Linked DNA regions of Coturnix japonica. The main gene of each other region encodes a partner of the protein of the gene in region 3 in a complex. Links are inferred from orthologs where the notes say so. Each region holds a gene or a part of one and is shown on either strand. Other genes may lie near its edges. The genes, in order: SPTLC3, ORMDL3 and SPTSSA.

What was found.
Region 1: SPTSSA (region 3) and SPTLC3 share a complex: the UniProt entries of both Homo sapiens proteins name them as parts of the serine palmitoyltransferase (SPT) complex. The link is inferred for Coturnix japonica from reciprocal best matches to the Homo sapiens genes SPTSSA and SPTLC3.
Region 2: the proteins of SPTSSA (region 3) and ORMDL3 are in contact, whole or in part, in a cryo-EM structure (PDB 7CQI), measured with the Homo sapiens proteins. The link is inferred for Coturnix japonica from reciprocal best matches to the Homo sapiens genes SPTSSA and ORMDL3. Residues at the interface, in NP_612145.2 of Homo sapiens: Ile44, Tyr50, Thr51, Val54, Phe55; in NP_001307730.1 of Homo sapiens: Val36, Leu38, Ser39, Ile40, Pro41, Phe42, Ser44.

The regions. Positions count from the first base shown.
Region 1 is NC_029518.1:11,214,398-11,224,381, forward strand, and holds the start of SPTLC3 (serine palmitoyltransferase 3), read right to left. Parts: upstream 6,161-9,984; 5' UTR 5,541-6,160; intron 5,304-5,540; 5' UTR 5,182-5,303; intron 1-5,181. UniProt on the Homo sapiens protein: Component of the serine palmitoyltransferase multisubunit enzyme (SPT) that catalyzes the initial and rate-limiting step in sphingolipid biosynthesis by condensing L-serine and activated acyl-CoA (most commonly palmitoyl-CoA) to form long-chain bases.
Region 2 is NC_029542.1:3,975,827-3,985,717, forward strand, and holds ORMDL3 (ORM1-like protein 3), read left to right. Parts: upstream 1-2,529; 5' UTR 2,530-2,932; coding exon 2,933-2,997; intron 2,998-5,008; coding exon 5,009-5,204; intron 5,205-5,849; coding exon 5,850-6,001; intron 6,002-6,092; coding exon 6,093-6,228; 3' UTR 6,229-9,016; downstream 9,017-9,891. UniProt on the Homo sapiens protein: Plays an essential role in the homeostatic regulation of sphingolipid de novo biosynthesis by modulating the activity of the serine palmitoyltransferase (SPT) in response to ceramide levels.
Region 3 is NC_029520.1:32,504,543-32,514,637, reverse strand, and holds SPTSSA (serine palmitoyltransferase small subunit A), read left to right. Parts: upstream 1-3,339; 5' UTR 3,340-3,563; coding exon 3,564-3,666; intron 3,667-6,522; coding exon 6,523-6,626; 3' UTR 6,627-7,986; downstream 7,987-10,095. Other genes in the region: EAPP (E2F-associated phosphoprotein), read left to right, coding at 469-736. UniProt on the Homo sapiens protein: Component of the serine palmitoyltransferase multisubunit enzyme (SPT) that catalyzes the initial and rate-limiting step in sphingolipid biosynthesis by condensing L-serine and activated acyl-CoA (most commonly palmitoyl-CoA) to form long-chain bases.

The DNA.
Region 1 (9,984 bases), on a different chromosome or scaffold from region 3:
TAGTCAGCCTCAGTGATTTTAACCCATATAAAGAGAAAACATGCATTTCAAGTTATATGCTAAGGCTATCCAGGGCTAATTACATGACTGAAAATTAGGTTCTAGTTTTACAGGGAGGCGTGGGCTTGATTTCCAGTGGCCTTCAAATGTGCTTAGCAGCAACATGAGCATCATGGAATCCTTAAGGTTGGCAAAGACCACTAAGATCATCTAGTCCAACTGTCCAAGTACCACCAATATTGCTCACTATCCATGACCCTCATTGCTACATCTCTGTGGTTCTTAAACACTTCCAGGGACAGTGACTCCACCACCTTCCTGGGCAGCCTGTTCCAATGCCTCACCATTCCTTCTAAGAAATTCTTCCTAATATCCAGCCTGACCCCCTCACACCCTCCAGCACAACTTGAGGCCAACAGCCACCTCATTGCAACCTCCCTTCATGCGGCTGTAGAGAGCAGTGTTGCAGAGAGGATGTGCCTTTCCATATTGAAGGACTGTAGTGAGAGCAAGTGCTGGAAGTTTTTTCTCTCATGGAAACATTGCTGTCCAGTGCTGTCCCTCAAGAGACAGTTAACTGCTGAAGTTACTCTGGACTGGATGCATTGTAATGGCGAACTACATGGGATCTGTGTGCAAGTCCCTTTAAATTTGGGTAAAAGACTTCATATTCTGTGTGCACGTGCAAGAAGACAGCTAAGTTGATACAACGCTTTTTGACACTGCAGCTGCTTGGTTTGAAGCTTCTAGTATTTTAACACTTACTATTTTACTGTCACAAAGACATACAACAACTGGGCACTGCTGATGCATCTCCACAATCTGCTTTTGCTGCTGGTCAGTAAGTTTAGTCCTACTGGAAACATAGAGGCAGACTATGGAGGCCAAATTGTTTCCTACTGGTGTTTAGGTTCCTTTGTGCCGACTGAACAGCTTCACCTCAAATCAGTGACAACCTGCCCGCTCTCATGCCTATTCGTCATAAATGTGTGAAAACAGAACCCAGCATAGTTAGTAATTATCCCCTCATTATGCCAATATGCTTCTGAAAGCATAATCACGATCAAAAGGCACGTGATTCTCCTCTCATTGCTTTCTGTTTGCAAGTTTCAACTTTTTTTTTACTTTTTTATTTTATTCCCCCTGCTAATAAGGATTTTTTAATTTGAAAATCAACAACAGCTTTTGAAGCCTGTGCCTGTCCTCATGGTAATGACAAAACTCCCCTGACCTGAGGACTCAGACTCTGCAGCAGTGAATAGCAGCTGAAATAGCAGGCACGTGGAAACGCCACAGAGAAGGACACATGAGAAGCATCTGAAGCTCCAGGGGACTCTTAGGGATAATTTGGTGCCCGTTTCAGGCGGCTCAGTTCGTACTTCAGTGAGGGTAAGTTTTGACTGAGATTAGTTAACTGGCAATTTCCCGTCTTGTTTACAGCACAATCAAAGAAGCTGTGCAACACACACCTGAGCGCACTGGAGTCAGTTCAAGGCAATAAGCTCAAGCTCAGTGTGTGTCCTCCGGCTGGAAATTGTAGAGCTTCCCTGGAAATACCTTACTGGCCCCTGGAAGGCAGAAAGCAAGAGGTCACTTTTCCTGCTTCCTACAGAGGAGGCTGCCAAGAGCTACTCTAGATCCATTCATCCATCCAGTGTAAACTAATGCCTTCTTGTTAATCTTATGCTAAGACTGATCTCAAATTTTGCCTGTACCTGCATGGCCTTTATTTTCATCCCTTTCATTCCTGTCTCTCCAGTCTGTTTGTAAGGATGAATTGCCCGTGGCAGTCTCATCCTATCCAAACCTATCCAAAGTGTTCACATTCTTCCTCATAACCACACTGACACAGTCCTCTGTCCCATCAGTTCCAGATAATCAGTCACTACAGCACTAGTCACAGGACTGGAACACTTTTCCTATGAGGAAAGCTGACAGAGTTGGGCTTGTACAGCTGGGAGAAGAGAATGCTCCAGGGAGATCTCATTAAAGCCTTCTAGTACTTGAGAGGGAGTTTACAAGCAGGAAGGGGACCGACTTTTTACATGGTCTGATAGCCATGGGACAGGGAGGATGGCTTTAAACTAAAAGAGGGAGACATAAATTACATGATAGGTGAGAATTCTTTACTTGGAGGGCAGTGAGGCCCTGGCACTCCTGCCAAGAGCTGTGGGTGCCCCATCCCTGGAGGTGCTCCAGGCCAGGTTGGTGGGCCATGGGCAACCTGAGCTGGTGGGGGGTTGGGGATGGGTGGGCTTTGGGTCCCTCCCAACCCACGAGGTTCTGTGACTCTATAATTTTCGAGAAATAAATAACATTTGAAATGTTAGTAAAACTGTGATGATCCTGGGAAGGTATTTGTTTAGCACACTGCACAGAGATTTTAGGAAGCAAGAAACTGTTTTACATAATACACTGTCTTTTTGGCAGAACTGATTAGAGCATACCTGCACTAGTCATTCTACAACTACCGTGTGTATTGGCAGCTGCATCTGAGACCTTGAAATGCACAAAGGACACTCATAATTTATGTCTGGTTTACTAAGTAAGGCAGCACCGGAGTTAGGAACGGTTAATTTGTGCACTGTGCCATTTTACAAGGCAGCAACACCACTGGCTGACTGTCACCTTCAAGGGAGAAAGCTATGACTCCTGTACAAAGATACTGCTGCTAGAGGTGAGAGCATCCATTTACCAGCACTGAAGGCCCAACCACCCCAGTGCAGCTTGATGATCAATGGCCACAGTAGCTCAACACTGACCCCATGAAAGCTCCTCAGTCCCCTGGCAAATTGATTTGACTTTCAAGGACAATTAAACTGTTTGCTCCTCCACTCAGTCTGTTTGGTGCTGTTAAATTCCACTGCAAAATGAGTCACATTTGAAAAAGTGGCATTGGTGACAGATAACTTTTTGTAATTACATCCTTTTATCTCCTTTGATAAGTTAACGGTGAGCAACCACAATAGTTAGCAATGCAGATAGCGTGCAGCTACTGACATCTGAGTTAGCAGGAGATGAATTTACACATCAGAGCTGAAGTTTCAGGCTTCCAGAAAATTGAAGTTAGCCCTTCCTGCATAGAGACCTGCAGCCCCAAAGCACATCTGCCACCTCTGTGGTAACACAGCCCTTCCTCCCCAGCTCCACACACCACCCATAGGCAGGACACAGGCAGAGCGATCCTGCTCAGATCCTGCTTTGCTGCATCGCACTGCTGCAGTTTGTCAGACAGAAAATCTCCCTTTGGGCAGCCACAGACCTCTGCAGCGAGCCTGAATCCAAGCCCAGAGCTCTCGCACTGTAGCTCCTCTGGCACAGAAATCCCTACCAAGTTCAGACTAATCTGAAGGAATTACCAACAAAACTGAACACCCCCCTCCACGCACACGGACATTTCCAAACCTCTCCAGGTACCACTCTGTGTATTTCATCCATTTTGCCTTTTCTCACTGAAATGCAGAAGAATGAATCTTTCTTACAAAGAAATCAAATCAGATTTGAAAATTAAAATAAAACAAAACCACCAAACAAATAAAAGCAAACCACTCCCTTAGGAAGAAGCCATACCCAAACCAGGCAATCCATTGCATATACATTTCCCCCAGAGGGAGCATGTGAAAGCAAACAAAACATGGCAGATGTTAGTCCTGGTGTTCAGTGTGCTGCTGGAAGGTGCACGCATCCCATAGCAATGAGAGAGCAGAAGCCTACAACACAGCAGCCAAACACCTCCGGATGATCTCTTCACAGTGCACTGTCTTGAAATACTTCAAAATGATGTAGCACACAAATAACCTAAGCAAGACTGGATTTTCCTAAGCAAGACAGTGTGATAAAACCTTGTGATACACAGCTGAAATTACACTACCTGAAAAGACAATATCTCATCTGCAACATTGAGTATCAAAATTATTTGATTTTTTTTTTTTTTTTCCCATCAGAATATGGAAAAGACAAAGCACATTAAAGCAAAGTACCTTCAGAGTGAAATATAAGCTACCTTGCAAATATAGAGCTTTGGAAATGTGAGTTGTCTTCATTTTTTTAATCTCTTTGAGTTAACTAAATAACTACCTGAGCTTGGTTTTAAACAACAGTGACAGCCCTGTGGTTAAATGCTCAGATGTCATTAATGATATCCTAAGTGACTAAAAAGGACAAAAAACAAACCCAGCTCATAGTTTTTGCGTGTTGCATTATATCATTGTTTGACTTTAGGACGTCGGAGTTTGCTTTATCAGGATTTGACAGCATCTACCTCACTAAGCAGTAGCTCAAACACGCAAAGACGTGATAAAAACACCAAAATGTCATGTCTGTGAACTTCAAAGCAGTACAAGACTCAACTAATTTAACATCTTTGTACTCTTAAGGGAACTGCTCACCCACTGATTCATCTTCTGTTCATTCAGGATCATCCTGTCACTACTGCTTGGAACACCAGTATGTTTCTCTCTGCATAGTAAAAAAGAAATGGGAAAAAAAAACCACCAACAAAAAAACCCACACAATTACAGATATAATAACAAGCTTTGTGGCCTCTGCTGAAGGCTGCTGAGCTCCCTGTGTTCTTTGCAGGAGAGCTCATTAAGCATGCATCACATCAGGACCAGAGCAATAGACGCCTGTGCAAGTGTGGGGCATTTAAACAAGAAGAAGGATTCACTGCCAAGGAGAGCAGTGATAAGGGTGGCTCTGTGCTTCTCAATTGGTGATGGTATGGCTGACTGCTATCTCACCTGGGGCTGTTCTATCCCCATGTTCAGGAATGGCACTCTAGGAGGTGACAGTGGTTCCTGGTACCTTTTGCTCAGTAGAAATAGAAAAACACCAACTCAGGAAACACAGGGACATAGCTATCCCATAGGATATGTCCTGTAACACCACTGGGACAGCAGGGGACATTTATTTTACAGCATAAAATAAGGGCTGTAGGGCTTTTCGTGCAGCATACCCCATTACTGGGAAACACTGACAAGAATTGGGGAAAACGTTCCCTAAGGAGAAAGCCTGTATAAACCCAAATCCCCTCAGTAGCAACCTATCCACATCACTTGTGTGGTGATCAATGAGACATTCAGCAATTAACATTTGCTCATTTATGTATCTTCTCCTCTGGGAGCCCTTCGGTTTTGTGTGTGTGCAGGAAGGCAAGAAAACTCACCTTTTAAAACTTACCCTTTTATTTCACCTCTTTTACTGAAGAAAACGTTGCTCCTCTTCAAGTCATATATCACATCAGATATTCTGGACATCAGCAATCGTGCATCCAGCTGCAGCATTCGGGTTCCTGCTTTGTGCTGAACACAGGATGTAAGGGACCCAGGCATCATATAATTTTATGGAAGCTCAGTGGGTACAAGATTTCACTCACACACATGCACACAAAATGAAGAGAGATAAACAGCCAAAATTAGAGGAGGCTGCATTTTCTATGGGCGAATATTAATTCTACAGAGAAGTTAATAAAACAAATTTTCCTTTTAAGTAAGTGCATTTTCACAAAACCTTTGAAAAAACAAACAACACAAACATACCTGACAGAATATCTGAGTCTTCCTTCTTTGATTCCCCCTCCTTCTTTTTCCCTTTGAGGGATTTATTTTTTTCTATTTTTTTGTTGTCACACCTGTAAGAATATTTGTGTTGTTCTCTCCCATGTATTTTGGGTACTGTACAGCAAACTAACACAGAAGCAGAAGACTCAAGGCTGTTGTTTCTTCCTGTCTGGGGGGAACAGGTGCACAGATCTCTGTGGCATTCAGTGGGAATAGCTCCTTAACATAAGGGGGACATTAAAATCAGCTTTTTGTACCAGTGCTCCACTTTTGATACCAAAATACCTTAAGCAATAAGCTGGCACAATAAGCACAGGTATATCTGCAGACCCACAGACTGAACAGCACAGTGAGCAGGAAAGGATTAACACATCAGGAACAAAACATAGCAAAAAAGCACTTTCCCCCCTACTTCTACCCATGCAGCCTCCCCAAGTACTAAGAGAGGGGAAACGCACTGCAGACACCTCATCACACCCAGTGTCACATACCATCATCACCTTTTGGATGTGCCAGCAGATAATTTAGATAAAGACCAACAGGAACAAGGACAGGCAGAAACACTGCCAGCCCCAGCTCTGAGGATGGATGATAGGTTGTTACCAGCATTTCCTAGGAGGCTGCAGTTGCGATCTCCCTTTTTCTTTTCTGCTTTCACCTCCCAATCTACAACCTTCAGAAAGCGGAGTTTAAGTCTCTTTTAAGTTGATGTGCTACAAAGGAACTGAAAGAAAGCCTGAGGGGGAAGATACTGGCTTTGGCTATTTGATCCAGCTTTTTTCATTGCTATTCTATGCCCGGTTCTGAGAAAAAGAAATCCCTTTATCTTATGATTCCTTACCTAATCAGAACTAGGCTATTTTATCCAAATAGCCAAGGCACGTTGGTTAAGTCCTGCACTGATTTTAGCCCCTGGATAGTTAGACCTAAAAGATCTTTCCAAGAGGACTAGTCAGAAAGGAGAGCAGTTTCTGCTGCTGCTGTCACAAAACCCTACCTTTGTCACAAAATATTACTCTTCCCATCAAGAAGAAAAGCAGTGCAGCAGCATGGGGAGGGACCATGGGAACACAGGCAGCTATACCCTAAGCTGTAACTGGGGCTCTGCATTTTCCTGCACAGGGAAAGCAACAGAGCTGCAACATAGATGGGCACCATCTGATGCAAGTGGTGGAGGAACCAGTGAGGGGAAGGGTGTTACTGGACCTTATTCTCACTAACAAGGAAGGACTTGTTAAGGAAGTAAAGGTTGGGGGCAGCTTGGGTTGTAGTGACCATGAGATAGTGGAGTTCAAGATCCTGAGGGGAAGAAGCAAAGCAAAGGGTAGGATTGCTACCCTGGACTTTAGGAGAGCCAACTTTGATCTCTTCCGGGACCTAGCTATCCCTATACCTTGTGCCTCTTCCAGGGACCATTATCACACAGAGAAAATCATTAAATCATAATCAAAAGGTACAAATTTTGTTATTTTATTTGTCTTACAAGTATTAATGCCAGAGCAGAGTACTTGCAGACAGGGAAGCTGAATTTAGAATACAAATGAAAAGAACTTTCTTTAGCCGTCCTACAGTAATAAGCTGTGGAGTACTGTTGGCTCCCAAAATAATGCAGATGAAACTGAGCCATCATTACACAGTTGGATCCCCAGCAGCAGCAGAGAGAAAAAGAGTGGATTTCAAAATAGTTTTGACTACAAGATGAAGCTGCACCCTTCAGTCTGAAATTGATTTGGAAGATTTGCTGAGCAAATGAAATGCTCTGCCTGCATTTTGTCTCTGCATTCTGAACTCACTTCCCTCCTCCGTAAACATTCCCTCGCATGCTGCTCCATCTTATTCTTTGCAAAAAATAACAAACCCAAACCCGTACACTGCATAAATGTTATTCAGACTCCTCTGACCCACCACAAACTCTGAAGCAATTCTTAACCTAACCTCAGACAGCGGTAACACTGAATATAACTAGACCATTCCTCCCAGAACAAGGCCTGCTCAAGCCAACATACACTTCTAATAGCAAGCCCTACTCCAGACCACTGTTCTCCATCAATTTCAGAATAAGGATGGGCTGACAACTTATCCTGAATCCTGCCCTCACTCTTATAACTGCCAGTATCTGCAAAATGAAATGTGTCATTGACAACCCTCAGGGCAGCAAAGAAGACTCTCCACTAAGCAGGGCTTACCTGCTTCTTCTTTCCTCTCAGACTCCACGTAAATCCTGCCCTGACCTTTGCTTTAGTGTGTGGAGGGTGACTAATGTGCTAACACTGGGAAGTTGCCTAACTCCTCTTCTAACACTGCCTTATACTGTCTTACCTTTATGTGCTGATAACAAATGAAGCAGAAATAATGACTTTTTTTTTTTCCCTTTTCTTTTTGTATCAGAGCATCCCATAAGACCTTGCATAAGGTCTGCTGCCTATGCTGCCCAAGGAGATGCTGAGGCATTGCCATCCTCTGTTGCTGTTACTCACGCTTTAGCAAAGGCAGGCAGGACCCTGAGGTTTTCTCTAAAACAGAGATGCAAAGATGAATTTACTGCTTCAAGAAACAGAACTGGTGGTGCAGAAAGCACCAATTACCGGATTATGATTTGCTTTGGAGCTTTACTGGCTAAGACTTTCATAAAGGTGTCGGGACTCGGGATTCATTTTTTAGGGTTTTTTTGGTATGATTTTGGTCTAATGTGGTCATACTGTCTGTATCCCATTCTTTCATGTAAACGTTTATTCAGTGGATTTACCTTGGTTTGGTTACCTTGGTAGCTGTTGTTAGTCTATGTAGCTGCTCCAGGCAGGTGACACCTGGGTGAGGAATGCGTGTTTCCTCAGAGCAAGCAAAGTACTCCAATATCTGGTCATCAGCCCCCCAAATTCCAAGCCAGGACATCACAATTGGGATCTACCAGCTAGCAGCACAGATAGCAGATGCTTTGTATCAATCGATGAGGAAGCAGCAGGTTTTGGAGCAGGAACCTTTGTGACTTTTGCAACAGAAGCAATATTTCCACAAAAGAAACCAAAAGGAGATTGGTCAGATGATGGTGGATCATCTGCTTCTTTCTAACATGACTCTCCTTGAGAAGCAGACTAGATTGCTGGCTGCAAATTCTGCAGAGATCCCAGGCAAGCATCTGGCAGCTGTTCAGTCTGCATCACCCCAACACTGAAGCAGCCTGAATTCACTTTCACCTTCAGCTGTTTTCAACTATGGTTGAAACAGCACGCTAAAAATAGCCTTATATATCTACACACCTGTAACCTTTTCTTTCTCAAGAAAATCTTTTTTTTTTTTTTTTAAGTTAAACAAAAGTGCACGAATAGACAAAAGAAAAGGAAAACAACAGGAGAAGCCAAAGCATAACGGATGAGGACTACAAGAGTCTCAGTTAATGAGCTCATAGCATACCTTATTTGTCATCTTATTATACCATAGAAGCTTCCTGCCATAAAACACATTTCTGAAGTTCAACTTACATCCTAATGTGCATCTGCAGGAGAGAGCTTTGTACTTGAGAAGCAGAGTCCCTGCTGGTATTGCTATGGCAAACAGGATTTTCTATTGGAAAGGAAAATGAATCGCTGAATGAATATTGAATAATTCCTCCAGAAAGTAACAGCACTAGAGCAAGATCAAAACCTACAGTAGCTTTACCTACTGTAATGCAGCCATATCCTCAGGTTCATTCCATACAGGTGGCTCATAACAGCATGGCACGCATAAGACTATTGAGTCAGTTCTCTACTACAAGCCTTACTTGAGCTGAGGAACTGAAGCAGTAACTCTGTCTGAGGTTCATGGGACAGAATTAAATCAAAAGTAGCCTTGTTCCCCAGCAAAAATTACTAAATGCCTGCTGTTCACACTGTATGTTAAATTTCTGAAGTCCTCACCTTCTAGAGCATTTCCAACAGGTTTCTATGGGCCACTCCTACCCCTCCGTCAATGCTGCTTCTATCTGTGACTTTGGGGGGACAGAAAGAGTAAACATCAAAATATCTGTTAGTGGTGTGTGATGTGTACACTCAGTGACATAGAAATTAGGAGGAAAACAAATAACAGTCAGATTCAACCAATCAAACAACAATCAAATCTAGTGAAAGGCAGCTGCTAGTGGAGAGAAATTTTAAGCTGCCACATAGAATTCATAGTTAGAATAAACAGAGCTGCTCTCAATTTTCATCCAGGTAGTCCTGCTTCTGTCATCTGCTGCTTCATCCCATCAAACAGAGGGCTACTGAAAAGGTCAAGAGACTCAGCTCTCCACTGCTGGTGCTGTGCTTACCATCTATCCCACAGCCTGGAGGCACCAAAATCAAACGTAAACTTAAGAGTGTGCAGCTGGGAGAATGGAATCAAGTGAAGAGACTGGTGGATTGTAGATGAAAGAGAAGAAAGCCTGGGAAAAGATGAGAGACTT
Region 2 (9,891 bases), on a different chromosome or scaffold from region 3:
CCCAGCCCTGCCGCGAGCCGCCCAGCCCGGGGTTCGGTGGACCGGCGAGTGGACCGGCACCGGGGCCGGCTCAGGACCATGGAGAGCGGCCGCCGTTACCGGGCTCCGGTGCTCCGGTCCGGGGCCGCCCCCAGCGGGCAGCTGGTACCGGGGCTCGTCCCTACGGCACACCGGGCTCCGGGGACGTGGGGCCGAAGGCCGTGCCCTTGCCGTGCTGCCAACAAGGACGTCGGTCCGCGGCTCTCCTTGGTGAGACCGTGCGCTGAGACTCCCCCGCTGCTCGGGGAGGATAAACGGGTTACGAGGCGCCTGGGCTGCGTCTCGGCCCCATTAGCAGAACACAACCTGACGGCAGCCGCCCCGAGCGCAGCACGGCTGGAGCCAGGCCCGGTGCGGGGCTGCCAGTGCGGGTCTGTGGGCCCAGAGGTCGACACACACCGTGTGGGTCCGCTCCCATCCGGTGCTGGCAGGAGGAAGATCCGTGTCCCCACCTGAGGCTGGAGCAGAGACCCACACTGTGCTGGGATGGGGCCGGGACTGAAGCTGGGGAAGCACTGGCTGCTCCCAGGCCCTCAGCCCATTCATCTCTCCCTGCTTGGCTGGAGAAGCCCCATTCACCCCAGCAGCGATGCCACAGGGTCTCCATCCTTCCCACACCACGCAGAGCCCAAAAACTCGAGGCTGCAGTGCAGCACAGCCCTGTGCAGACCCCTTCCCATCGCTGCAGCGGCACGGCTGGCTAAAATCAGCCAGCATCAGCTCCTCCCTGCCACCACGGCTCTATAGAGCCAGCATCGAGCCGGCAGTGGGGCCAGCAAACAGAAGGGGAGTGTGGATCCCACTGCACACTCCAAGCATTGGCCCTAATCCCCCCCCCCAAGGACAACTGCACCCCCAAACGCTGGGGTTCCCTGGGAGGGGGGGGATAAATGCAGGCTGGGGAGCCCAGGGAGAGGATGCCCGCCCTGCACTCCCACCAGCAGCGAGAGAAGCTGCTGCAGCATCACCGAGTGGGATTAATATTTATGGGCGTTTAAAAATAGCCGCCGCATTGTGCTTCCCCCTCACGTGCGGAGTCAGCGGGGTGTGGGGAAGCTGCTAAATTAGATGTCACCGCGCAGAGGGAGCTGCTCAGCCAGGCAGGAGAGGGGATAAAAATAGAGCTGCCGTGTGCGTGGCTCCCCTGCAAAGCAGGGCTGCTCCCGAGGGATCCCGCCTCCGCTACAGCATCCCTGCAGCACCGGGAGGATGCGGGTGGGTTTTCCAGGTCCCCACAAGGCCGAGGTCCTCCAGGAGCAGCCGGCAGGGGAAGCTGTGGCTGTGGGCAGGGAGATGCTGCTGTGTGATGCTCAGGATGCCCCGGTCCCACCCAGCAGCAGCGATGTGCCGGATCCATCCTCCGGCCCATGAGGGCGCACACGAGGCGCTCAGCTCTACGAGCAGCTGGTGGGGGGGGGGGGGTTGGGGGCTTCAGCACCGAACGACCCCAAAGCTGCCTGAAAAAGACCCCGCCGAGCGGCTCCGCCGTTCTGCACCCTCCGCTGCTCCCCGGCAGGAGCTGAGCGTGCACAAAGCCTGCACAGATGGCTGCACGTGGGGAGAGCAGCGATGGCTGCGCTGACAAAGGCCGGGGACAGATGGTACCCAACAATGCAGCCCCCGGCCCTCAGCCATGCATGGTGCAGTGCATGCACCGAGCTGCGGGGTCACTGAGCACAGATAGCACGGATAGCAGGGCTGCAGGTGCTGAGGTGACCGCATCCCTCCATGCACAAAATGCAGGGGATCCGAAATGCCGACAGCTGGAGCCGATATCCCGATATTCCCACCCAAAACTCCAATGAACCCCAAGAGCTAAAGCTGCTCAGCCAGCAGCACACAGTGCACTATGTCCAGTGGGTATAACTCAGTATAACTCTGCATCACTCTCTTCCCTGGTTAATCCGCAAATTAACTCCATTTCCATGTTACACCCGAACACCGCGCGGTGCTTCACGCATCACGGGCCGTTAATTATGGCTACAACAAGAGAAGCGAACCAACACCGGAGCAGAACACGCACAGCACCGACCCCAAAGGGCACAAGGACCCCCCGGCCGCCCCGCTGTACCGTCACGGCGCAGCGCTGCCCCGCACAGCTCCGCTCCCGCACCGCCCCCCTCCATCCCCGCACGGCGCTGCCGCACTACAGCTCCCGTGGTGCCGGGCGGCGGGGCGGGCCGTGCCGAGGTGTCCGCCGGGAGAACGGCGGAGATCCCGGGCCGAGCCGGGGCTGGAGGATCCGGGCCGGGCGGTGAGTGCGGGCCGGGTGCGGGACCGGCCGGTTGTGCGGGGCACGCGGTGCAGCTCCGCGCTGCGGGGCCGTCGGGGATGGGAGACGGGGAGGGTCGGGCGGTGGGAGCGGGGCTCGGTGGGCGCTGCGGGGCAGAGGGCCGAGCCGTGCCGTGCCGTGCCGAGCCGTTCCGTTCCGTTCCGTTCCGTGCTGTGCCGTGCTGTGCCGTGCCGTGTTGTGCCGTGCCGTGCTGTGCCGTGCCGTGCCGCTGTTGGGATGCGGCCAGGGCTTTGTGTGCAGCTCCGGGTCGCACCGAGCTCGTTCACTTGTAGCGCTTCCTTTGTGTGCGGAGTTTCCCACCCCGCGGCCGTTTCCCACCGCCGTCCGATCCCGGCCGTGTTTGCTGCCGTCTCCGATCCGCCCGTTCAAACGGCGTTGCCATCTTGCAAAGAAAGGCTTTGAAATACTCGTTCTCTCGGGAGTTGGGGATTTGCTGCTGCCAGAGATTGGGATCGCGGCTCCGGCCGTCGGATCAGAATCTCCTGCGTGGCTGGGAACGAGCAGATCGACCGAGATAAGCACCTGCCGCCCTCCCCATCTCTGCAGCGCTCTGATCAAGCCCCGAGCAGGAGCTGCGGAGCCAGCACAGCAACCGGGGTGATGTGTTTGTTGGGTGGCAGAACGGAGCAGGAGGAGGGGATGCTCCTTTGGGGGCAAAGCAGGAGGTGAGGGATGCACGGGCTGCTCTATGGGGGCTGCTGGTGTCAGTTGTGCCACAGGGCAGAACAGCAGCGGGACCCGTGTGTGTGTCAGTGTGAGCAGTGAGGAAAGGCCCCAATCCCCCATGGCAGGGCTCTGCTCACATCCAGCTGTGCTCAGCACAGACGTCAGCACGGCGCTGACCTTCACCCTCAGCCTGGGGGAACGTTGCCCTGCCAGGACCCAACACTGCACAGCTGGGAAGTTGCAGCTCAGAGCAGTGCAGCTCCTGGACGTCCTCCTGCTTTTGTGGTTGGCTTTGGGGTTTCTTTCTGTCTGCAGGTGAATAAATCCCCAGTGTAAAATCAGAGAGCAAACGAGGAGGGATCTGGGCTGGGGGCGGGGAGCTGTGCATGGGAGCTGTGTTTGTTTGGGAGCTGTGTTTGGGAGCTTGCTCTCAGCCGGGCTTGTGCAATAACGTGCAAAGCTCAGTGTGCAATCTGAAGTGAGCAAAGAGCTCAGGCCAGGGCTGCAAACACGAGTCTGGAAATGGAAAAAGATTCAACAAGGAAAGGCTTTTTGAAGCTGGAAAAGGCCAAATTGGAAGAACACAAAGTGTTATCGCGTGGCCTAATGCTTGACCTCCCCACTGCTCTCTTGCAAGAACAAATTAACCTCCTGTGCTGTATTAATGAGAGCTTCACCACCCCAATCACTGCAGTGAGTGAGGAAACTGAGGCAGAGGAGAATTGCTTCACATTCAGCTTTGCCCTTTGCCACCCCACTGCAGTGCACAGCTGCCCTGCTTGGCAGACAGCAGCACGGAGCAGTTGCTCATTGGTTTTTAGTGCCATTAGAGCCATGGTTCATCCCAGACAGAAGCTGCACTTTATCCCACATCAGCTCTGTGTTCCTGCATTGCTCTGAACTTCCATTGCACACTTCACCCCACGTTTGGTCCCCATTCTCTGCAGGGATCCTTCATGCATTTGGGGTCCATCCATTAGCTCTCCTTTGAGTGTTCTCTAGACTAAACAAAGCCGTTTCCTCCGGCGTGGCCTTGCAGGTCATGTTTTTCCTACACCTCTGCTCATTCTCACAGCTCTGCCCTGGACTCCCTCCAGCAGAACTGGACATTACTCCAGCTGAGGCCTCACCAATATCTGGGAGGATTATTTCTCCTGTCTGGCAGGCAGCTCTCCTGTTTACGCATTCCACAGCGGTGGTTGCTTTTCTTCCTTCCCTTTTTCCCTTTCCCCCCATAGTGGGACATCTTCACCTCCTCTTACACTTCAGCACAACCCCCATGTTTCCTTCTGAGAGCCATTCAGGGCTGTGGCCACACTGAGGATGGAGCTGCTCTCCCAGCACTGACCTCCAGCTCCAATCCTGCCCCCCTGCCAGGCTGCTTTGTACCCAGAGCTGACAGCCACTAACCCAACAACCTGCAGATCCAGAGGCTCTTTCCTCCTAAACACAAACCTATTCCAGACCTGAAGCTCCCTGAGTGGCAGTAGAGACATGGGAGCATCCATCAGCTCAGCAGTGAGCATCCCAGAGCTGCACACGTGCTGTGTGAGTGAGCAGCAGGCAGGCTCAGAGCACAGCAGCTGCTGAAACAAACCAGGCCCAGCACTTAGAAAGGGAACTCGGAGTAGCTGGCAGGAACATCCAGAGCATAATGTCAGATCTGGCGTGGACTCGCCTCCTGAGACCAAGAGCTGGACAGAACAGCAGCTTGCTTTGGTTTTCAGCTGTGGAAAGCAAAGCAGCAAAAGCACGAGGCTGAACATCAGGGAGAAGTCATTGCTTTGGGATCTGCTGTGCAAGGGACAGGCTGTATTATTTCCTTGGGAAACAGGCTGAGTGTTTTATGCAAGACCTTCCCTGATCTCTGTGCAAAGATATCCTGCATTACAGCAGCTCTTTCCTGTAATCCCTGATCATTGGTAAGACAGCTCTCAGCTCCCCAGTAAGCTGTGAAACATGGATGAAAACAGTGACCTGAGCACGGACCTGCCTCTGGTTTTGTTTCAGAGGGGTGAAAACAAGAGCCAATATGAACGTGGGAACAGCACACAGCGAGGTGAACCCCAACACCCGCGTGATGAACAGCCGGGGCATCTGGCTGTCCTACATCCTTGGCATTGGGCTGCTGCACGTCGTGCTCCTGAGCATCCCCTTCTTCAGCGTCCCCGTGGTTTGGACTCTTACCAACATCATTCACAACATGGTAAGCCAACCCCAGCTCAAAGAGGCAAAATACTTTGGAGCTGTGGCCATCAATTTCGTGTCCTTTATGTTAACATCTGAGAGCATTGCAGTGGTGAATCCATCCTTGGGATTGCTTGTCTTATCTCCAGTGATATAAAAATACATGAACACATAAACCCAGAGCTATGACTGCTGGGGGCTGAGTGCAGCACAGCCGCCTGCATTTCACCCAGCTCCTTGCCCTGCTCAACCTTTGGCCTTGGGAACAGAGGGGAGCTGAGGGCAGCGAGGGCTGTGTGTTAAAGACATGTCTGAGCCCAACATTGCTTATCTATAAGACAGCAACGCATCCTTTCTGCCTTTTAGACAGCACTGAGCATTGCTGCTGCACAGTGCAATAATCCCGAGTGCTGTAATCTCACAGCTCCCTTTGCTTACAGCCCAGACAGGCGTTGCTCTTAGCAGCCAAGGCAGAGCCAGCTCAGCTTCCTGTGGCTGCTTTGGGTTCACAGCGCTGGTGATGCATCCCTCTAGCGGAGCAAAGTGCTGCTGCAATCTTACACAGCCCCTCATTACTCTGCTCCCCTGTCTGAAGCTGAACCATTGCTGGGGGGGGGGGCTGTAACACCACTCACATCTCACCCTGCATTTGTGTTCTCTGCAGAGCATGTACATCTTCCTACACACGGTGAAAGGAACCCCTTTTGAGACGCCAGACCAGGGCAAGGCGAGGCTGCTCACGCACTGGGAGCAGATTGACTATGGCGTGCAGTTCACAGCATCCCGCAAGTTCCTGACCATCATGCCCATCGTGCTGTGAGTGCTGCAGGGGAGCAAAGCAAGCGGGAGGCAGAGCACACGGCGTGCTGTCATTCAGTGTCTCTTTGCATTCTCTCTTTCTCTGCAGGTATTTTCTAACCAGCTTTTACACCAAGTACGACCGGATACACTTCGTCATCAACACCATCTCCCTGATGAGCGTCCTGATCCCCAAACTGCCTCAGTTCCATGGAGTGCGGATCTTTGGGATCAACAAGTACTGAAGCAGATGGAGGAGCAGTGGAGCTCATGGAGGTTCCTCCTCCCTGCTCCCGTCCCCCCCCTGCCCACACACACTGGGATAGTTTCACAGCAGCTGTTTTAAACGCAGTACCCAATAGACATACACCGCATGCTGGATCCTCATGCCCAATAAACCTAAAGAAGCTCCAGAGTAGAGTTTAGCCAGGAGCAGGATGCTGGGCTTCTTTTATTCCAGCATCATCATTAGATGCAGATACACCGAGACTCCAAGGTACAACGAGGATGAATCGTGGGAAGGTTTTCATCTATCCCAGATGCGATGAGAACAGGGGTGAGGGGGAAAGCTTTTAGTGCTGGTACTATTGCTGTGGTAAATGCACTTTAACATTACTTCCCTTTCTGAAGCTTTGGTGCTTTAAAGCGATCCGCGGGGAAATGGAAAGGGACGCAGCCAAACTCTCCCATTATTTGATGGTTTCGGGTTTTGGTTCCATTTCTTGGGCAGAGGAAGAGAAGGGAGGGGAACAGAATGACACAGTTTGATGTCGAAAGCTTTTATGGCACCGAGGAAGGAAGCTGTTCTACTCAAAGCAGTAGAGGAAAGAAGAAACAGGCTGCGCTTTGAGACGACTGTCTGCTCCCTTCGGAACCATCCATCTGGGTCAGGGGAAGGTCCCAACTTGCAGCTGTTACTTCCAGCTTGGGTAACTTTGCCTCCCAACCCAAACTGCTCAGCTTGGGGATGAAGGGCTGAGGTGCAGCTCATTATAACGACTGAGGTGCCTGGGAGGAACCAAAGACTGATGGATTCAGACCATGTGAGAGCTGAACGGCTGCTTGAGAGCTGGGTGGCAGCGATTTGAGTTCTCCTCCTCCATCCATCCCCTCGGTCTCCTCAGCCCACGTAGCTGTTAATGAGATCTGCCAGCTCTCCAATGAACTCGGCATGAAAACCTCCACGAAGCACCGCAGACCCCCAGGGCTGATGGCTGCCAATGGGGAGGGAGCAGAGCAGCACCGAGGAGCAGCACCAGCAGCACTGACCTGCCCCAGAGAAGGGTGCTCAGGTCACCAAAGACAACAGATGGTTTTGTATAGGAATAAACTCAAGCCTTCATCCCCCTCCAACCACCGCTGGAACAAGGGAGGGTTGTGGGGCTGCAGGTTTGGGTTTCCTGGCTGAGATGCTTTTTTCTTGCAGGTTTTGTGCTGGATGAAATGTGGTTTTGCTGATGCTTTCCCTTCCACCAGCCTGCATTCTTTTGTTGTTGTCTCAGTGCTTACGTTGTCTCACGTTGGCAATGGTGAAGGCATTTTAAATGTGCTGGGTTTGTTCTTAATTAGCCAAGTCTGGCTTGAGAAGTCAAAGTGGATATTGAGTTCTGTATGAGGGTCTGGGCATAGGGCATAGAGAAGCTCCAAGATCTACTATATAAGATCTGGTAGTACTCCATGCATAGTATTAGGCTTTATTTCTATCCCGTACTTAGCAGGCTGCTGCAGTGAAGGGAGAAAACAGTTAACGTAGCTCAGAGCCATGCTGGGATGCATGGGGTCATTATTTAACAGTTGTTGAGCAATGGGAATGTTTTAAGTGCAAAGGAAGCCTTGAAGAAGGTGGAAGAAGAGCCGGGTTGGGATTTGAGCGCTGATCTCCAGTGAGAGTTTGGCAGAAGTTTGGGGTACCCGACAGGGTGGGGGTTAAACCACCACGACACAAGTGCTGCTGCTTGAGTTACGGTACTACAGACCCTAAAGCTGACGAACTCTTTAAGCTACCAGACAATGACTTTGGGGGGGGGGGGGAATACTTCATTTTCTTTCTTTTTTCTTCATAACAAACCTATTTTGTTCATCAGTGCTTTGGAAATTAGGAAGGGATGAACAGCACCAGGGCCTGGGATGCTCACGGACACAGGGCAGCCCAGCAGGTCTGAATGTCTGACAGCACATGAACCCATACCCCAGTGGTAAACCTCCAGGAGAAGAGACACTACTCCTTTAGGCATGATATGAAAGGGGGAAATAAAAGCTTTCTTGCAGCAAAAGTAGTTGTTATATTGAGGGTGCTTTGGCTTTTAACCTCGACTCCCATCCATAGGATGTATTGAGTGTACAAGTTACCCCAGCTCAGAGCAGTTTTGGGGCTCAGCTCAGTGTTGCTGCTGGGGTTTGGAGCCTGCATTATTTGTGCTGTTGGCTGACACGACGGACACCTGATTCTGTTCTGCTCCATGAAAGAGCATCAATAAAACAACATGGACTGGAATTACAGACTTCTGGCAAAGGCAGGTTTTCAAGCCCTGAGTCCAGAAGTTCTCATGGGACAAAGCCTTCATTATGATGGTAAACTTTCCCCACTTTGTTTAGCTGGAGTGGTTAACATAGAATTACACAGGTGTCCCCATTGGGGTTACATGGCAGATAGTACTGGCCCTTGATAAAGTGGGCAGCAGTTGTGTTACCATGATGGATGCATTGCTGTTTCTTACTGGGACTTCCATGTCTCTACCATTGAGTGGCATATATTTTAAGCATGCAGGCCTTTGCATTGCCTCGTCCTCCTTGGATCAATCTCAGCTCCATTAGTTTGGTGGGGCTGGTTTTGTTTGAACACAACGTTCTGCCATCGGACGGAGTTTTAGGGTTTGGGTTTGCTTTGTTGGTTTCTTTCTTCCAGCAGCCCTTCCTTTTTGCTGTGGATGCTGAAGTCTCGTGTAGGGAACTTTCTAAAACAAAGTGTGAATATTTTTATTACTCCTTTGTAAAGCCTTCTAAGAGAAACTAATAAAGTGAGTATTCATGTAATAACCAGCCTTCAGCTCCTTGCATTCCCACATGGGCACTTCTGCTCATTGATGCTCACTGTGGCCGCAGCCCAACCAGGATGTGGCAGAGCTGGAACCTCATGGACTGCAGAGCTGGAGGGGCCAGAAGGGACCCCCCCAGTCCAACTCCAACCCCCAGCTGAGCATCACAGAATTGCTCAGGTTGCAAAAGACCTCCAAGGTCATCAAATCCAACCACAACCCAACCGTGCTACGTTAACCAGCACGCCCTGCTCCTCATCCCTGCATAACTGCCAAACAACCACAACAGAAGCAAAGTCCTACAGCCCAGGAACAAGGTACACAGGGATCGAGTGCAAAGTGCCCACAGCTGCTGGAACAGCACGACAGCAGAAGTGACGGCGAGAAAAGTTCAGGGCTGGGGTTATATCAGTTCTTCTTTCCTTATCGGGCAGGCAGTTCCGGGCTGGCAGGAGGCTCACATAGCAAAGCCAGTAAGTACAGGAGGCAGTGCAAGCATTGCAAGCACTGCAGGCATTGCAAGCACTGCAAGCATTGCAAGCATTGCAAGCATTGCAAGCACTGCAGGCACCGCAACCAGCTGGTCCCACTCCTGCAGCACAGAGCCCCACATCCCCCCACAGGCTCCAGGTAAGAGCTGCCCCACGGATGGGGGGAGGGCTGCCCCACTCTGCCACCCCACTCTTCTCTCCCACTGTCCAAAGTCCCTCCCCAGCTCCTCCTGGGACTTGAGAACTTTGAGACTTAAGGCTGAGTGCTCCCACAGCCCAAAGTCCCCCATTATCTGAATCAGAGCTGGAGCACAGACCCACGGTTCCCCTCTCCACCCATTCCCTTCTCTTCTCTCCTTCCTCCCCCATTTTGTCTTTCTTT
Region 3 (10,095 bases):
ATACACAGATGACTGCTGAAAAACATACTTTATTATAGACTGGATTTTCAAAATGTGACGTGTCATTGTTTATTATACAGAGTTTCAAGCTTGAAATGTTTTAGGTTATAAATACCCATATTTGAGTCACTTGCATTCACAACTTCAAGTTCTTTGCCTACCAATCATTAGCTCTGAACAGCCATGCATCATTTTGTAGTACCAAGATGCACTCCAGGGGTGCTTATTTCAGTGAGAACCAGTGTGTTTTTAAACATGTTCCTCAAGACCAAGACAGCTTCAATTCTTTCTGTGATGTTTTATAGTTGGGCCTGTTGTTCTGTTTCTAAAACTTGATATTTCTATAGCTTTCAGCCATTTGCAATGGCACTTCCTATCTCTAATCCGATTTCCAGAGATGATAACTTATTTTGTGGAAGCAGAGTTTTTACCAGTGGCATGACTTGCATTTTCTCCTCTTCTCCCTAGACACGAATCTTACAAAACACAATACAGGGCGATGTTTGTGATGAACTGCTTTGTTAACAAAGAGGAAATCCTGAAATACAGAAAGAAGGAAAAGAAAAGAAACAAGAAGAGGAAACACAGTGAAGAAACTACTACTCCTGTACAGTCAAATCAAGAAGAGGAGGAAGTGTATCATCCAGTATTATGTACTGAGTGCTCAACTGAAGTGGCAGTGATGGATAAAGATGAAGTGTTTCACTTCTTCAATGTTCTAGCCAGCCACAGCTAATATGCAAAAGCAGGAAAAAAAAGGGCTCTGTTTAAGACTGTGTGAAGTATCAGAAGTGCAGGCACATCCATCTTTTTAAAATATGTTCTCTTAAATGTACATTTCTATCAGATAGCTTTATAGTGGTTGGATTTCTGACACTATTCCTGTATTCCTTTTTTATGAAGGGAATCCTGTTAACTGCTTGCATTTGAGAGCGATATTCTTCTACACTGTCAGGTGGTCGCGTTGTCAAGGATTTAATGTTTTGTAAATACAGTGTAAAATCTGTGTATTATGATCATTCCCTGTGTATGTACTGTCCAGTACCTCAGTGTGTATTAAAACTACTGCTTAGAATAAATACTGTATCAGCTGGTTCCCCTTAGCTGCATTGGTTGTTTCTATGGAATGGAAACTATTCTATTCAATGGAACTGTTAAACTTGGTAGCTCTCAGTGAGGATTTTGGGCTTAAGACAAGATTTCTATATCATTTTTACTACCTATGGTCTGACTGGCACATTGGCAGAAATGATGCCATCTGAAGTGGGATAGACTATTACTACATGCTTTAAGCCTGGAGGCATATAGGGAAAATTTTGCTTAGTAACACTGTGGAGGAGCAGATGTAATGGAGGCTGTACTCTGCTGTAGGGCATACTGGCCTCAGTGCAAACTGTCTTCACAGTCCAGGTGATGCATGAAAGCTATTTAGTGTCAGGGTAAGATTGTTGCACTGAGCTGCTGAAAACAGGAGAATGAGGATGTTGTTCAGGGGCTCAAAAGTCAGTGCAGGTGGTAGCAGGAGGAGCAATTGTTGATGGCAATTCTTAAGCAGGAGTAAGATGAAGATAGTGAAGAATGAGACACTCACTATACGGAGGAATAGTGTCCATTTATTAAGGGGCTAACTAGCAAAAGCTGCCTTCTGAGTATGCACCAAATTGAAACGGTGTAAGGACCTGGACAAACAGCTGGTGGATGTGGCAGGAAATGGTGAAGCTGGCATGCTTCCACATTACCTTTCTTCTTATCTCAAGTGCTTGCTGCTGCTTCTTGCTCGCCCGAATTGCAGTTCCTGTTTTCATGAGACATGGGAGCAGGAGAGACTGGGAGATGTTTGCTTCATATCGATACTGCTCTTGCAGCTGTGCAAGGCTGTAGTGCTTTAGATGTGCTAAAAACCCCACCTGTCCTTGGACTTCATGTGCTTATTTAGAAAAGTAGTTTTCATCATGGCTGCAGATCTTTCAAGCAGTGTCAACAACACAAGACTCCTCCAGTGTCAATTACAACAAGCAACAGCTGTCTTGGGTAGGGGCAACAGCTGCTGTAGCCAGCTATGTGGGGGTATTGAATCGTATAAATACGCTCGTTTCTTCTTGTGCTGAAATAAATTGATCTAGATATATTATGTCTGAATGTATTCTAGCTGGATTAAAACCCGTATCAGATCTTTCCACATAAATTACGACAGTGTTTGGTTGTCTCTGCCAGCTAGTTTTCTTTTGCACAGTTATCTCCTGGTGCTGTAGGTGCAATTCACAGCTCTGTAAATAATTAATATGAGCACCCTGCTGTGACTGTATTTCCTTGCTTTCCACTGTGCTAACAGCACTGGTTAAATTAGGTGTGGGGCAGCTGCAAGACTAGGGTTGCACTAGAACTGACATAACGTAAAGCTGTTTTACTGAGCAGGATGATGGCAGAGGGCTGACAGCAGTTTCTCATCTGTGGTGCACACCTAGCATGTGCATGAGGCCTTTCCTGGTGGCCTGGCTCCAGCACACAGGGGTTGGTTGTACCTTGTACTTAATCGCGATGCTTGACTTCCCCACGTGTTGCTTTTCACTGGGTTTGTGTTCTAACTACTGCATTTGAAACTCAGTTGTCCACGTAAGCTGCCAAAAGTCAAAATAGCAGTTACAAGTTTCTAACACTGAAGCATCTGGCCCCAAACACCTCTCAGAAGGGCAAAGTTAGCAGCCATTATGGTAAAAAGTTGATCTTTTTGCCTCTTCCGCTGTTCCTGTGGGACTGATCTAGTCAGTCCATGTTGAAAGACTGCACATTTACCTGAGCAGTGGTTTTGGGTGGGCTTTGCCCTGAATACTAAAGGTACTGAAGCCGCCTGCAGAACCCTTTAACACATATGATGAATCACGTTGAACGCAATCTTCAGGTGATCTCTAATACCCAGTATGTCCATTTAAATGAAACAGGATGGGAGAAAATTGGGTGCAGCAGTCTTCCAGATATGACTCAGATCTGCTCACATGGTGACGGACAATCGTGTGATGTGATGTGATCTAAGCAGGATCAGGCTCGCGCATACAGCTGATTTATTCTGTAGGGGAAAATCAACGCGTTCTGCTACGGGGACTGAGAGTGGCTGGGTTTTGTAGTATGTGAAGCGAGCTTCTTCTGCGATCCGCAGAGACTGTTTTGTACGGGAATACAGGCAGCCTCACGGCCATTGTAACCGACTCCAGGACTGACTGTCAGTACCGTACACGCGCTGTGAGGACGGAGAGGAGACGGAGCCGAGTGTCCGCTCCCTCCGCCCCGCTTCCAGGGGCCGTGCGGGGCAGCCTCGGCGTTCAGTGTCCGCTCCCAACTCCGTCCGCTCCGGGGCGCTGCCGACCCGACCCGCGCCCCGCCCGCCTCGCAGCGCCTCCATTTCGGGAGGCCGCAGCCCGGGGCCGGGCCTCGCGCGGTGGGGCCAGTCGGCAGCGACGGCGGAGGGAGGCGGGTCCCGGGCAGCCACCGCCCCCGTCTCCGCTCGGCCTGGGCCCGGCGCAGGCGGCTCGGGGCCGGCGGCGGGTGGGGAGAGCGCGGTGCGCGCCATGGCGCTGGGCTCGGCCTGGAAGCAGATGTCGTGGCTGTACTACCAGTACTTGCTGATCACCTGTAGCTACGTGCTGGAGCCCTGGGAGCGCACCGTCTTCAGTATCCTTCTGCCGGCGGCGCGTGGCCTGTCGGGCGGGTAGCTCTGGGGCCGGGTGGGATGTGGACGGTGTCCCGGGGCTGTACCGAGGGCGGCGGGGAGCTGGGAGCGGTGTGCGGGGCTGGCGGGGCTGCAGCCGGTACGGGCGGAGCGGGGCCGGAGTCAGGGAGAGCCTTAGTGCCGGCGCGTGCCTTCTGTCACGGGCATCTGCACGGTCCGACCGCCTCTGCCCGGGGCCAAGTTTACATCCTGCCGTGCTTTCTCCTCAGCCTTTCTTTTATCATTATTATCTTTTTCTTATTCTTTTCTCTCCCGTAGAATTGCGGTAGTTATTTTTCCCCCCTGACTCTTCAGCTGGAGCACCATGGTTTCTGCTCAGCACAGCTCTTGAGTTAATTCTGTTTTGTCGTCTCGTGGAAAGTAAATGTGTGTGCTGGGGAGCTTTGGTTTGGGCTGCGCTGTGTCACACGCTGTTTGTTAGAAGAGCATTTAATCCTTGAGCCGGTGAATTTGTTTGTCTCTTCTGGAGTGGAAGAACTGGATAGATGCTAATGTGAGGCTTCTGTATGCAGACTACTTGTAGGCAAGCTTCCTCAACCAGCTCTGTCAGACTGGCACTGCGGTGTCCTAAGGGCTGTTATTTATTACCAGTGGTGTTCTTTGCGAGCGTGGCTGGTTTGATCTTGAGTTAAAATGATGTCTCATGAACGACCCTGAGCCATCTCCAGTTTATGCTGAGAGGCACAGAGACAAACCAGCCAAAACATTAACACTGCTTGCACCCATCAAGAAGGGTTTAATGGTGAAAAGCTGCTTTTCCTGGTTAGTTGTAAAGGAACTCATTATATAAGAGTGGTTTCCCAGGTTGTAGCTGGTTACAGGTTGCAGAGAGTTTTCTAATGTACACTTGGTAAAAGTGGAGTCATTACTATTTTTTGGCTTTCTCATTCTTACAGATGCACAGTGCTCAGCTATTGAGGCAGCGGTTTTTAGTTTCAGAGTACTCTGTTTCTGATTAGAACACCCAAATCTGTTTATGCTGTGTCTGTATCACTGAAAACACTCCATTTTTGCTTTCCTTACAACTAGATCAGTTATAAACAAATATATGTATTTTCCTTTCATATTAACTGGACAGCTTCTTAACTTGGACAAGGCATTTAAGTAGTTGACAGATGTGTGTGCATGTTTATAAAGTGCTTGTTTTGCAGTGAAGTGATCGTTGCTCCACTTAAAATAGTGTCCTGAGTATCCCAATATATTGTTTGCAGCATCAGATGAGCAGAACTGTCCCTGTCCTCAGAGGGAATGCTGTCACTGCTGGTGGGCCAAGTCTGCCAGGCACTGTGGTGCCTGGACCACACTGGACCACACAGGCACATGGCCTTGGAGCTGGCAGTCCAGAGACTTGCTGTGTGTATTTCCAGCTTATTGTATTCAAGAAGTGTAGGGAACACTGATACTGGAACGTAGATGTAGCATTGACCTTCATTTTAGTGTCTTGCATTGTGCAATCTTCTGGGACTAAAAATACACCCAGAAGCTGGCATGCTCTAATAAGCACCACATCTACCTCTTGGGGAAGTCAGTTACAGAGCCCTTGTTGCACACATGCTCTGGTTACTTTTCTCTAAGTTACAGAGCATGCACGGCTCCTCTGATTTCACCTGTGGAAACCTGAGTACTGTTATCAGTGTTATCGTGCTTGTTAATCTTCAGAGCTCTATATAGTGTTTCTGAATCTCTGCAGGTTATTGTTGAGAGTACAGCTCTTGAATTTCTAAAGTCTTAAACTTTGAGTGGCCTAATCTTTGAGTAGTCTGATGTTATAGTTTCTGTTAGATAAAGCCTTGAGAATCCTGGAGTATGACAAAGGTCTAGTTGTATGTTTACATTGTAAGCCATCTGACTTCTCTGACTTTCCATTTGGAGTTCAGCTGAATGAAGGGGTCATTGCTTAGCAGATGGCTTCATGTGAGATTTGTTTTGCAGCTCTGCCATAGTAAAATACCAGCAAGCATATATTTATTTACACGCACAGATTTATTCCAATCATGCTGATCCTATGAGGCATTGGGACTGAAATGTCTGGAAAGCTGTGTGTCACAATGTTGCCCATATTTTTCATTACCCTTGCAGCCTATTTTTTTTCCTAAGTGCTGTCAACACTTTAATGTAGCTCCTTGCCTGTGATAAAAGGTCTGAGCTGATAGAGCAGCAAACCAAATAATGTAGTGACTTAAAGCCTAGAGAACACTGTTTTCCTGGCTTTATGTTTGCAGTACAACTTTCATGCCAGATGTTTTGTGAACGATACATTAAATGTATTATGTCATTCTGTTCTGGTAAGTTGATACCAACATTTAATGCTTTCTGCTTAATAGTGAGTAAGCTGTGCACAAATATCAGCTCTTACTCAGTACAGGTACTCATATAATCCTTCTGTTTTTGCCTCTCCTTTTTTTTTTTCCTGATGGTTGACTTTTCTGCCTGACTGATTGTGCTGGCTACTGCAGGTATTGCTTAAGACCTTGGAGGATGTATGCGTAATTCATATATCCCCAGTGCCCATTTTCAGTCCCTTCTTCCTTCCCACGCTTCCGTCTGTACTGTTGTGTCTATGACAAGGCAGTGGATATCTTACAAAGCATCCTGCTGTAATTCACTTTATCACCCCTACCCATGCTCTGTTTTTCAGTGTTCTGTTGCTTCTTCCTACAGCTGTAACTGTTGAATACAGTTAGTACTTAAGATTTACAAATATAATGTTATGAGATAGGAAAAATGGTAGTGCTGTGCTTATATGACTTGTAATGTACTTCTGGTTTCAAATGCTTTCTTCCTTACCTGTCGTTCAGATTCAATGCTAGTTTCCATTGTTGGAATGGCACTGTACACGGGCTATGTGTTCATGCCTCAGCACATCATGGCGATATTGCACTACTTTGAGATTGTGCAGTGATGAAGAGTGTATGTTCAAGAAGTTATCGTGCTCTGAAATCTGGTCGACAAAGAAGAACGAACCTCTTAGTTTTAACAAGACTTCTACCGCTGTCCAAAAAGGAAAGACACAATGATGATTCTGAAGACTAGGAAACGAGATGTGTAGAGCAGGGGCATGAGATGTCCCCTATGTTGTGTTAATTCCTTTTGATTTTACAAGATATGCCCTTGTATAGTAGTTTTGTCTACCTTAACATTGTGATTGTACTTTGATATCAGTATTTTCTTAACTTTGTGACAGTTTCGATATTGCACTGTGAAAGCTTTTCTTAATTGTAATTTTGAGTAAATCTTAATTGCCTTCTATTTTTAATCAGAAAATCGTCTAATTAAATGGGGCTTAAAGCTTTTGCTATTGTATGGTATGTATTTGCCTGGGTATTTCTATCGATGCATTTTTGTAAGAAAATACATCTAGATTCATATTAGAGACATGGATATATTCGTCTAACACTATTTACACAGATTAGTTTGTACGACTGAACTCAGGTGTACCGTTTTCTTGTCCAAACTTTGTTCAACAGTATATTTGTGCGTATCACCTGAATTTGGAATTAGCAATGCTTTTGAGTTTCTGCGCTCCATGTGTTGGAGGAGAGTGAGAGAGGGAGAGAGAGCACTGTAGCAATGGAGGCTGCATTCTTTCTGCTTGAAGAAGTGCTGTGGTTGTGGTGTTTTCATAGTGGGAACAGAAGCACTTTGCTGACATAGGCCCACATAAAGCTTTGGGATAGTACTTTAAATCAACACTTTTTCTAACAACCAATTAAATTGTAATTTTACATAGTGCTTTGTTATGTTCTGTTGGTGATGGTTTTCTGCTAATATTCACTCAACAGTGTAACAGCCTATGTTTTAAAGGGGTTTTCTATCGCCGCTAGCGTTCCAAATGCGTTCTCTCTACAAATGACCAAAAGGGTTTTAAATGGACTCGAGTTACAACTACAGCAATAAGTAGCTGAAAACTTGACTGAAGTCCTGTCTTTTTTTTGTTTTAATTTTAATTTTTTTTAATAGGGGTTTTCTTCAGTTTTGTATACTGAAATGTAAGATGGTGCCAACCTGACTTTCTGAAGTTTTTTTCTTTTTGCTTGTTTGTTTAAAAAATAAAACTTTAAAAGCAGAGCTTTGCTGCAAAACTTTCTTTGAGCAGTTAGTTTGTTTCTGAATGTTGCTTGCTTTTCTCAGACCTGTAAAAAAATGAAGACTAGTACTTGACCAAAAATTGCAATTTAATGGCCTGGTAATAACGTGTACTGTTACATTTTTATGTGATTTTAATATTCTTTTAATGAGGAATTAAATAACAAGGAATTTTACCTAAGTTGTACAACTAAATTGTTCTATAAATACATTTTTAGGTTTATATGGCTAATGCACACAGATGGAACAAAAAAACCAACCTTTTTTCATTTAAGTACTTTATGCATCTCTGATGGAAACTCTGTCTTGGAGCTATAAATGGTGGGCCTTCTTAGGTGAACCAGAGCCTTACTGCCATTGGTAGAGGTCTCTCAGTAAATCAGTGCCTTGTTTAGGGTGGAATTTCTTGTGAAGATTACTTAAACTTTTAATTGCCATCTTTCACTTACCCCATGTCTGCATGAGAGGCCCAAGCAGCAGTGTTAATGATTTGGTAAATGTAATCCCGCCTTTCCTTATTTAAAGTCGGTGGAGCAAACATAGGCAGTTTTAAAGTGCATGCACACAGGTGCATAAGTATTTTAAAAATGGAGATAGTGATTAGTTAACGTTCTCTTTTTGAAGGGGTGTATTGTAAATTCATGCTGCCAGTGGGTTAAATTGGTACTGTGATGTTTCTTTGTGAACTACCATTGTGTTTCAGGCACATTACTGCTGAGATAGGGTTTTAGTTGCATGGGGGAAGGGAAGATGAGGCAAGAAAACAAACAAATAAATAAATAGCTCTGTGTTGTAGCATTTTAAAGGTTAAACATGATTTTTAATTGTGAAAGGTTTTATAAAAGGGCTTTGGTGTACTGACTTTTATTAGCTTTTTATTAGCTTTTATCTGCTTTTTGTTGAGAAAAATGGCTACCATCACCTTTAAACATTTGCATTATGTTAGACAGGGCTCCAGTGATATCATACTTGGATTCAATTTGCTAACTTGAGGAATCCTTTTTTTAGCAGTGTTTTTTAAATTATAAACCAAGAATTTCTTAGGAGCTTTGCACTGTTCACTTTGTCTCCTGATGCTTTGCTAAAGATGAAATTATTTCATTTACAAAATACTGTGTGTTTCTAGAGGTGTTTCTATAAGGAAGTATCTGCAGGGTGATTTTTGTAAAGGTGATCTAGTGAAGAGATGGATCAAGTACAATAATTATGAAGGAAAATGAGCGTTTCTTCTTCTTTTTAAGTAAAAATGCTGGTAGGAATTTAATCCATCATTAAATTTGAATAATAAATGAATCCTAAGGCTATGAAGTTGTTTCCCCACTGCAGTCTGCTTTAATGTCATGTTAACTGGGGAATCAATTCCTTCATGTTCCATACTTTGAGCTTCCTCTTTGCAAGCTGAGGCACCTTTAATTCCATTTGGAGGAAGCAGGTCAATTATACTTTTGTTTAAAAACGAATGCTGTTAACCAAGCCATCAGTATTTTATATACAGATAGAAAAAATAATCATGGGAAGTATCTGAGGGGTGTGTGTGGAAATCTGAGTCCTTGAAGTAGCTTTTTGTTAGTCTTTTAACGACAATAGCTCCTGGGATTTAGCTGGAGTCACTCAAAATGTGTTTAGAAATGTGTTAACTCTTACAGCACAGCTGATAACGCCACTCCATCAGACAGCCCTTAGCAGAGGCTGGCACCCTGCCTACGGTGGTACCTGCTGTGCCTGGGGCTCAGCTGCCGTCCTGCAGGCCTGCTCAAGAGTTAGCTACACACAGCCCTGGGTGGCACGATGTCTGGGTGCTGCAAGGATTGTCATTAAAAATTCATGGTAGGAATTGCTGTAGCTATAAGAGGGAACTTAGGCATGAAAACTAGCTGGAAACTGTTCTGGGACCTGTGTGTGTATGCATTTGTATGTGTATGCATGTCCCAAATCAGTCAGTTTTATAAAAACACGTACCCTTCTCATTAGATCATTCCTTCTTTCTATTTCTTCCTCAAGGATACTTTTCTGAAGTGGGATCAGGCTAAGACTAGCCAGACCTAGTTGTAATGTGTCTGGAGGCTGTGATAACTTTGTTTCTTTTGGGTTATTGTGTTGCACTTAATTTGGAGATTGGTTGTGGTGGGTTTTTTTTGTTATTTTTTGTTTTTGGTGGTTTTTAACTACTTTATGATGGAAGACACTCAAGAATCCTAAAGCAAGACTTTATCACTGAAATTTAGAGAAAAAAAAAAGTCATTTGTTTGTGCATTCATTTAAACATTAAAAAAGTGGGTGTGAAA